Arabidopsis thaliana: one gene and its partner. The protein of the gene in region 1 interacts with the protein of each later gene in a pairwise test. Each region holds a gene or a part of one and is shown on either strand. Other genes may lie near its edges.

Region 1 (3,758 bases):
CGAGTGAAGGACCATGACCAAAAGGTCCACAACCAGTTAAACTAGTCATTGACAAATCCAACGGTGAGATGTGCATTGGATGTAGCGTAGAGAGTTGCGATATCGGTCTTCCCATGTACTTTGATGCAATGGTAGACATTCTTTCAAGCTATGCAAAAAGATCAAATTTTCACAGTCAAAATGATGTTTTGAATCAATCTTACATCAATAAAAACTCGCAAAACAAAACCAAACCTCTTCTCTAAGGTGTGCATTTTCAATCCGAAGCTTTTGTTCATCAAAGTAAGGATCTTCACTAACAGGAGGACCTCCACAGTTAGGACATATAGCATGCTTGAGAGCTTCTCTAATAGCAATGTTTTCGCAACGAATTTTATCATTCTCTGCCTTTAGTGCACTATTATCTGCTCTCTCATGTTGAGCCTACACAAAACAGTACCACAACGAAAATCAAAATCCTCTCTTTTCGTGTTCAGAATTACATTTTAAACTCAAAAGAGAGAGAGAGAGACAGAGACACAAAACCTTAAGCTGAGTTCTTCTGTTCTGAAACCAGAACTTGATTTGTCTTGGAGCCAAACCCAATTCTCTGCTAAGCTGGTTCCTCTGTTTCTCATCTGGATGAGGACACTCCTTGAAACTCCTGTCCAAGTTTCAACGATTACAAAATGAAAACAGAGTCCAAAAGATAAAAAAGAGAAGGGATTGCAGAGTAGTACGATTCAAGGCGTTGAATCTGTTGAGCGGTGTGACGATGGTAACGTTTCTTCTTCCTATCAGTTTCAGAGCCGTCGTGATGATGACTACCACCACCGTCTCCGCCGCTTCCACTACCACTTCCGCCGACGCCGACGACGAAACTCATTTTTTTTAATTAATGTTTCGAAAAGACAGTAAAACAGTCTTTAATCTCTTTACTTTTCACCCAACCACAAACTACTAATGGACCATTTACACCACTGTCACCATTAACACAAACCCAACAGAGCAACACACCAAAAAAAAAAAAAGGTTCAAATTTTAGAGAAGAGGAAGAGAGATTAAAAGAAAGAAAAAAAACGAAACGGAAGAGAATCTGAAAGAGAAGATGCAAAGGCGATGATTTCGGGAGGTGAAAAGGTTTCGCTTTAGGCAAGAAATTGATTACGAAAACAAAAGAAAAAAAAAAGGAATTTTTACAAATCCAAAAGAGATAGGTTTTTTATTTTAGCCGTAATAATGTCTCTTCTTAGTTCTCTACAGAGCCACCCTAGAAAGAGAAAGTGAGATAGTATATGATCTCTTCCTTGTAAAGACTTTCTCACCTAAGCTAAAGCCGCCATTAGTGCTCCCAAACCCCTTTTGTTGCTTCTTCAACATTCATTACAGATTCGCTAAAAGAAAACTCTCTCTTTAGAAATTGGCGTAACTGATGGGTTTTTAAATTGACAGAAGAAAAAATAGAAAAGAGAGAGAAAGAGAAAGAGGGTTTTAAAGTCTCTTGCTCTCTCCATTACTGCTAACTAGTACTCTCACCATACTCGGGGAAAGAGAGAGAGAGAGGACCGAACCAACCTTCTTCTTTTGTTTCTCTTTCTATACAACTAACTCTCTTTTTTAAGTTCCGGTGGATTTTTATGTTGCCGGAGAGGGTTAAATTGACGGTGGTTGGATAAAAAAAGGAGAGGACTTTATCCACTTTCTCCGGCGATTTTCTCACCTTCGTATAATGACAAAAATTAACTTTTATTGGGGATTTTGCTGATCTCATTTTCTTCTTCTTCTTTGGATTTTTTATTTATTTCTCTTTCTCATTTCCCAAGTTTTCTTACTCTGTTATAATTTAATTGTACTTTCTCTAATTTTTGCCTAATTTAGATGTACTAAAAACAAATAAAGATTTATTACTATAATACATAATATTTCTTCAAAATGAAAAATGAGAAAATCTGTGTAAAGGCAATTTTAATTACTTTGTACTAGATTCTTACTTTTCTTAAAACACCACTTGTTTTGTTTAGTGAACAAAGATCTATAATTAAAATGGATTTTCTTATAGATATTTACTTTTCTCAAAACATTACTAGTTTAAGGATATTTAATAATAATTATTGTATTTTAATAGTAGTAATTATTGTTTTAACTCGTGATAAAACAAACATTTCTTACCCACGGTTAAAACTATTAAAACGTTTACACATGGACAAACAACTTATCTGCACTGTAGTCTTCTATTAAAGCGAGCGGGTCATAAGTTCGACAAAATTGCCAATAGTAAAGATTATTTACTGAATACAATGAATGCATGGAACGTTCCACTAATTTATAATTTTTTCTATATAAGATTATTAGTACTATGTTTTACCTGATTTAATCATACATTCATATTTAGGAACATCGCACGTTATTCAATTCCTTTTAAGACTGTTTAAATAACATAACTTTAATATGATATAATTAGCTATTTTTATATCTGTTTAAATACTGTAATCAAAATAGCTTTATTTTTATTTTTAGTTGTTGTATTTTTGCATTTTTGGGTCGTCTCGATGTGTTGGCTGTTTCCTACTCACGCGGTCTTAACTCTATTCACTTCGAAGTGTATATCAAAAAAAGTCAAACTGTTTTTACTATACATTGAAATTAGAAACCTGTGGAAGAAAGAAATATGGTTGAAACTTGAAAACTTGACAACAATGTGAATTTATTATACAAACTTTCGTTGACAAAAGGGATTGCATGCGATTTCTAATTTTGTTTCCTCAACAACGACGACATTAAGTGTTAGCTGAAAATATGATACAACATACTGTATGATACTACTAACCTGATTATTAAAACAAATATGAAATCTCATAATTAAACTGATTTGCAAATTTTCTATTTGGTGTTATGTTTTCATTATTGGATGATATAGAAACGTATCATGGATTTCATTAGAGATTATGAATGCTATAATGCGAAGTAAATATAAAACTATTTATGAACTAAAGATAGTGTAATGAATTTGTGTATCATTCACCAATTCTTTGTTATTGATGAGATAATCATTTAGGAACAAAAGTTATTTATATTGTTTCTTATTATTATCAACTTTGGTCTTTAATTTACCATTCATGTGTGCATTATTTTATTCCTAAAAAATATTGACATCAGTCTGAAAAGAAGAAGCAATTAAATAGAGTCCTTAAAGCCTTGATATAAATTTCTCATCTTACCACATTTATTTTGGGACCTTGAATAAAGTGAACCAATTCACATACAGTCTCTGCCTTCGTTTGCTCCATATAGCTATCCCTAAATTTAATTATCATATGGACCGATTCATTACTTTATTTATTATCTTAAGATATTAATTCAAATATATGTTCAACCAATTTTCATAATTAATACATGCACATAGTACATACACGTGTGTAATTATATACAGTTGGACAATTTGGTAAGCCAATATTAATTCACAAAGCCAAATTAAAAAAAAAAAAAAATCTTGACCAATTTGATTTTATTAGTTAATTTTACATCGATGGTAGTTTCATTCATTAGTCATTACATATTTTACAGTTTTTCACTTTTCCTCGATCCAAGGTCAAACTTTTTAATACTCTTGAGCCGAGTTAGCACCAAAGAACCTCTGCTTCAAAATGTAGCAGATATAGAGACAAACAACGACTGACCAAAACAAGTTTCGAACCGGCGAAGCTCCTTGGCTATGTTGTTGTCCATACGCAATCTTCATCTTCTCTAGCTTCTGTTTCTCTTCCGAAGATTCTAAAACT
Region 2 (3,758 bases), on another chromosome or scaffold:
ATTTTTTATATTTCGTTTGCATAGAAGAATCCAAAAACATATGATTTTTTGTCAAAACAAAAACTTAAAACCAAACATATAGTAGATGCGACGTTTTCATTATCATTTGGAATCTAGTTTTATTTAGAACTTTTTGGGAACGTTAACTACTTTTCCTTCTAAATAACTGTTTCAGCTTTTAATGCATAACCAATGATCAAATTTAACGTAAACAAAATTTCCAAAATTTAGTAACTTCATGCTTGACAAATTTCAGTCTTTGTCGATCCTTGCTTTATGTAATGCTATTTCTTGACTTAATATCCCACTTAGGGGTTTGGAATACATGTTTTATGTTTATAATTTTAAAAGATGCATTTGAATTTTCTGTATATACTACCTTTTCCAAATCTCCAATGGCTATGTCATCTGAAAAATGGTTACACTCCCTTACATAAACTTTTCTCTAAATATCGAGGTTTGATTGATTGCTTTCATGTGCAAAATTTCTTAAAACAATGTAGCAAGTTTTTCTTTTTTTATTAGAGTTTATTGGTTAGTCTAGGGAGTCAAAAGCAAGAATTATGAGGATAATTTAAAGGAGCCACAATGTTGTTTAAAGGAGCTAAACGAAAAATAAGATTTCAAAGATTTAAGGGCAAAAATGAAATGAAATGATAACTATAATTATAGAGAAACTGATAGGAATAACATTTTCACTTTCAAACAATAGTTCCTCAACTGTTAAGTCGGCAAATAATTTCTTAAATTTGCATTGACCACATAGAAATGGGTTCCAGAATAATCAACGCTGAATATTCCAGAAAGGGGATTAAGCTTCGGTGAAGCTTGGGGGCTTGTAGGCAATGAAACTGATGCATTGGACTTGACGGGTGTTGTCGAATCCGATGATCCTAATGAAGGCGCCAGGGTACTCCTTCTTGCATTCTTCAACTTCCTTCAACACTTGAGCGGAGTCGGTGCATCCGAACAATGGAAGCTTCCACATTGTCCAGTATCGTCCATCATAGTATCCGGGAGTGTTTCCGTGCTCACGGTACACAAATCCGTGCTATATATAAAGAAAACCATTCAATACAATTGATATATATATTGGTGATAGTCTATTTCGGTTATCCACTTAAGTTTCTAGCAATGAAGAAGAAGAATAAAGGATGCTTAGAGACAAAGGAAAAGTTCAGTGTATATTACCTCCAACTCGAATTCAACACAAGGAATCCACTTGTTGCGGAGAAGGTAGTCAACTTCCTTAGCCAATTCAACGTCACTAAGGTCAGGGAGGTAAGATAGAGTCTCAAACTTCTTCTTTCCGATTGGTGGCCACACCTATAAATTCGAATTCCCAATTATTCTAAAGTATTGTTCAGTTGCACTAATTGCACATGACAAAAGACAGTTTTCATTAATGACATTTACCTTCATGCAGCTAACTCTTCCTCCGTTGCTTGTGATGGAAGTAATGTCGTTGTTGGCCTTGCGGGTGACCGGGAAAGAAGCGGATGACTTCAAGCCGGTGAATGGAGCGACCATGGTGGCTTGAGCCGGGGAGGTAACCACAGCGGTGGAGGAGAACATAGAGGAAGCCATTACTTCTTCTTGTTGTTTCTCTTCTTCTTTTGGTTTTTCTCTTACTTACTTGTTTGTCTGTTGGTTTTGTCATCTTTATATAGTGGGAACCGCTAGAGGCAACTAGCCCTAATGATCAAAGGGGCCATAATTCATGATAACGTCGTTAATTGCCACAGGATTAAGGAAAGGTGTTGACACCCTTATCGATTTGGACCACTAGGATAAGATCACGTGGCAGAAAACTCCATAATCTTATCTTTCTCATGTAAGGGTAGGAGTGAATGTGTATGGCTACTGGTCTCCACTTGATCGGTTGCTTTTGGCTCCTTTCAATTGGGAGGCGTCAAATTGTAGATATCGGTTAAATACTTTTTACATATAGATTAAAAAAATGATTAAATTTCTATTACCTTATATTAACACATTCATATTTTTATTTTTCCACTTGATAATCTTAAATAATAAGAATATAAGTATAATCTTTGAATTCATCCCACATTTTAAAAGTATAATTAAATCAGACAGAGTTCATTCAAAATGGTTTTTAATTGGGAAATGTAAACTAGTATTTTGTGTTATTATTTTCTATGTAGTATGTACGATCACTAGAACTTTTAGTCACATAATGGATATTAAATTAGAAAACAATCCAAATGCTTGTGAATTTTCAGGTTTTACGGCTAATTAATATATTTCTGATGAACAAGAGGAACCCACGGCACCGTTCCTTTTGGAGCACAACGCAATTGCACTTACGGCCCACTTAAGCACGAATGTGGCACCTCAAGATAATTCCCACCATGACAACTTAAGCACAAAAGCCATGACGGATCATGGGGAAATTTTATAACACACTTCAATGGATGGTGTGGATCCGAGGGAAGAATCCACACTCTAAGGCCACATGAAGAAGCTCATATGGTCATGGGTCCACGAATACCACGTAAAAGCTCATATATGCCCCGGTCCAACCATATGAGAAGAAGTAGCCAAACCCATTCAAGAAACATTGATTACTTTTCATTGTAAATAAGTGTTTTAGCTTTGAATGTATCGTAAACTATCTAATTTAATGTAAAACAGTTTCCAAATTATAAATATTCATGCTTTGTTATCTCCATTATAAATTTCATTAATTCTTGCGTGTCCTTGCTTGCTATGATGTCATCTCTAAATTTTTGGACTTGCGGCTCTAGAATTCATGTTTATGGATTTAAAATATACAGTTGGATTTTTCTATGTCATTTTAAAAAAGAAAATTTTTAGATTAGATTTTAAAAAGAGAAATAAACGTGTTTACAACTTAATGCATACTTTTTTGAAAAACAAATCTAAAACAGAGGATTTGGTCTTAAGCTTGTCTTGTACCAAACCAAACTTGAAGACCTCCTTCATACTTCAAAGCTCCCCCCACTCCGTATTGTGCTCAGCCGGTTCCAAACATTTTTGTCAATTAACTTGACAAGTTTCTCCATTGGTGATGGTTGTTCACCATGCTTTCAAGCATTTCTTTCTCCCCAAATCGAATGAACCGTGTTTTGGAAGACATACCGTAGAATGAAGATTTTTGTTTTGTCATAGTTTTTGTCACAAATGGTTTTAAAGACTTCCCTCCAATATGTCGAGTACTTATCAAGTAGTATTCCCCTTATCAGCTTCTCCCATACCTTCTGCGAGTAAGAGCACCCAAAAAAAAGATGGTGTCTTGTTTCCATAGGTTCGTGACAGAACATGCAGTTTGTGTTCACTTGTTGATTCCATTTAAACATTCTGTCTCCCGTGGCAACTCTGTTTTTTGAAGCTAGCCAACTGAGAAAGGAGTAGTTAGGGTAAAGTAAAAGAAACAGATCCCTTTGTATCCGTCCATCGTAGGCTTAGTGTTGCGAATTTTTGAGCATGTATCTCTTGTGACAAACTTTTGACGGTAGTGATCATTTTTTCCTTTCCAAAGGGCTATGTAACTTTCATCTTCTCTGAGACGACATCTCTATTTTCTACGTATTTTTACTACCTTTACTGGCTGTTTTTCATCTTTAAATTAAAATGTTCTAAATCAACCCTCAAAATTTGATTGATGGACGCATCTTTGCTATGCTTTCAAGTGCGAAATGTACCTAAAAAGGGTACTCTTTCATTAGAGAACCAAAGGCAAGAATTAGGAGAGAAATTTAAAGGAACTAAAATGTTAG

What was found.
Region 2: the proteins of HDG11 (region 1) and RBCS2B interact in a two-hybrid assay, tested with the Arabidopsis thaliana proteins (one large-scale study listed by BioGRID).

Annotation. Positions count from the first base shown.
Region 1 is NC_003070.9:27,580,956-27,584,713, forward strand, and holds the start of HDG11 (homeodomain GLABROUS 11), read right to left. Parts: upstream 1,731-3,758; 5' UTR 866-1,730; coding exon 720-865; intron 644-719; coding exon 526-643; intron 424-525; coding exon 235-423; intron 149-234; coding exon 1-148. Other genes in the region: SUS6 (sucrose synthase 6), read right to left, coding at 3,578-3,758. UniProt on the Arabidopsis thaliana protein: Transcription factor which acts as a positive regulator of drought stress tolerance. Can transactivate CIPK3, NCED3 and ERECTA. Transactivates several cell-wall-loosening protein genes by directly binding to HD motifs in their promoters.
Region 2 is NC_003076.8:15,380,392-15,384,149, forward strand, and holds RBCS2B (Ribulose bisphosphate carboxylase (small chain) family protein), read right to left. Parts: upstream 1,681-3,758; 5' UTR 1,588-1,680; coding exon 1,417-1,587; intron 1,327-1,416; coding exon 1,192-1,326; intron 1,052-1,191; coding exon 812-1,051; 3' UTR 516-811; downstream 1-515. UniProt on the Arabidopsis thaliana protein: RuBisCO catalyzes two reactions: the carboxylation of D-ribulose 1,5-bisphosphate, the primary event in carbon dioxide fixation, as well as the oxidative fragmentation of the pentose substrate.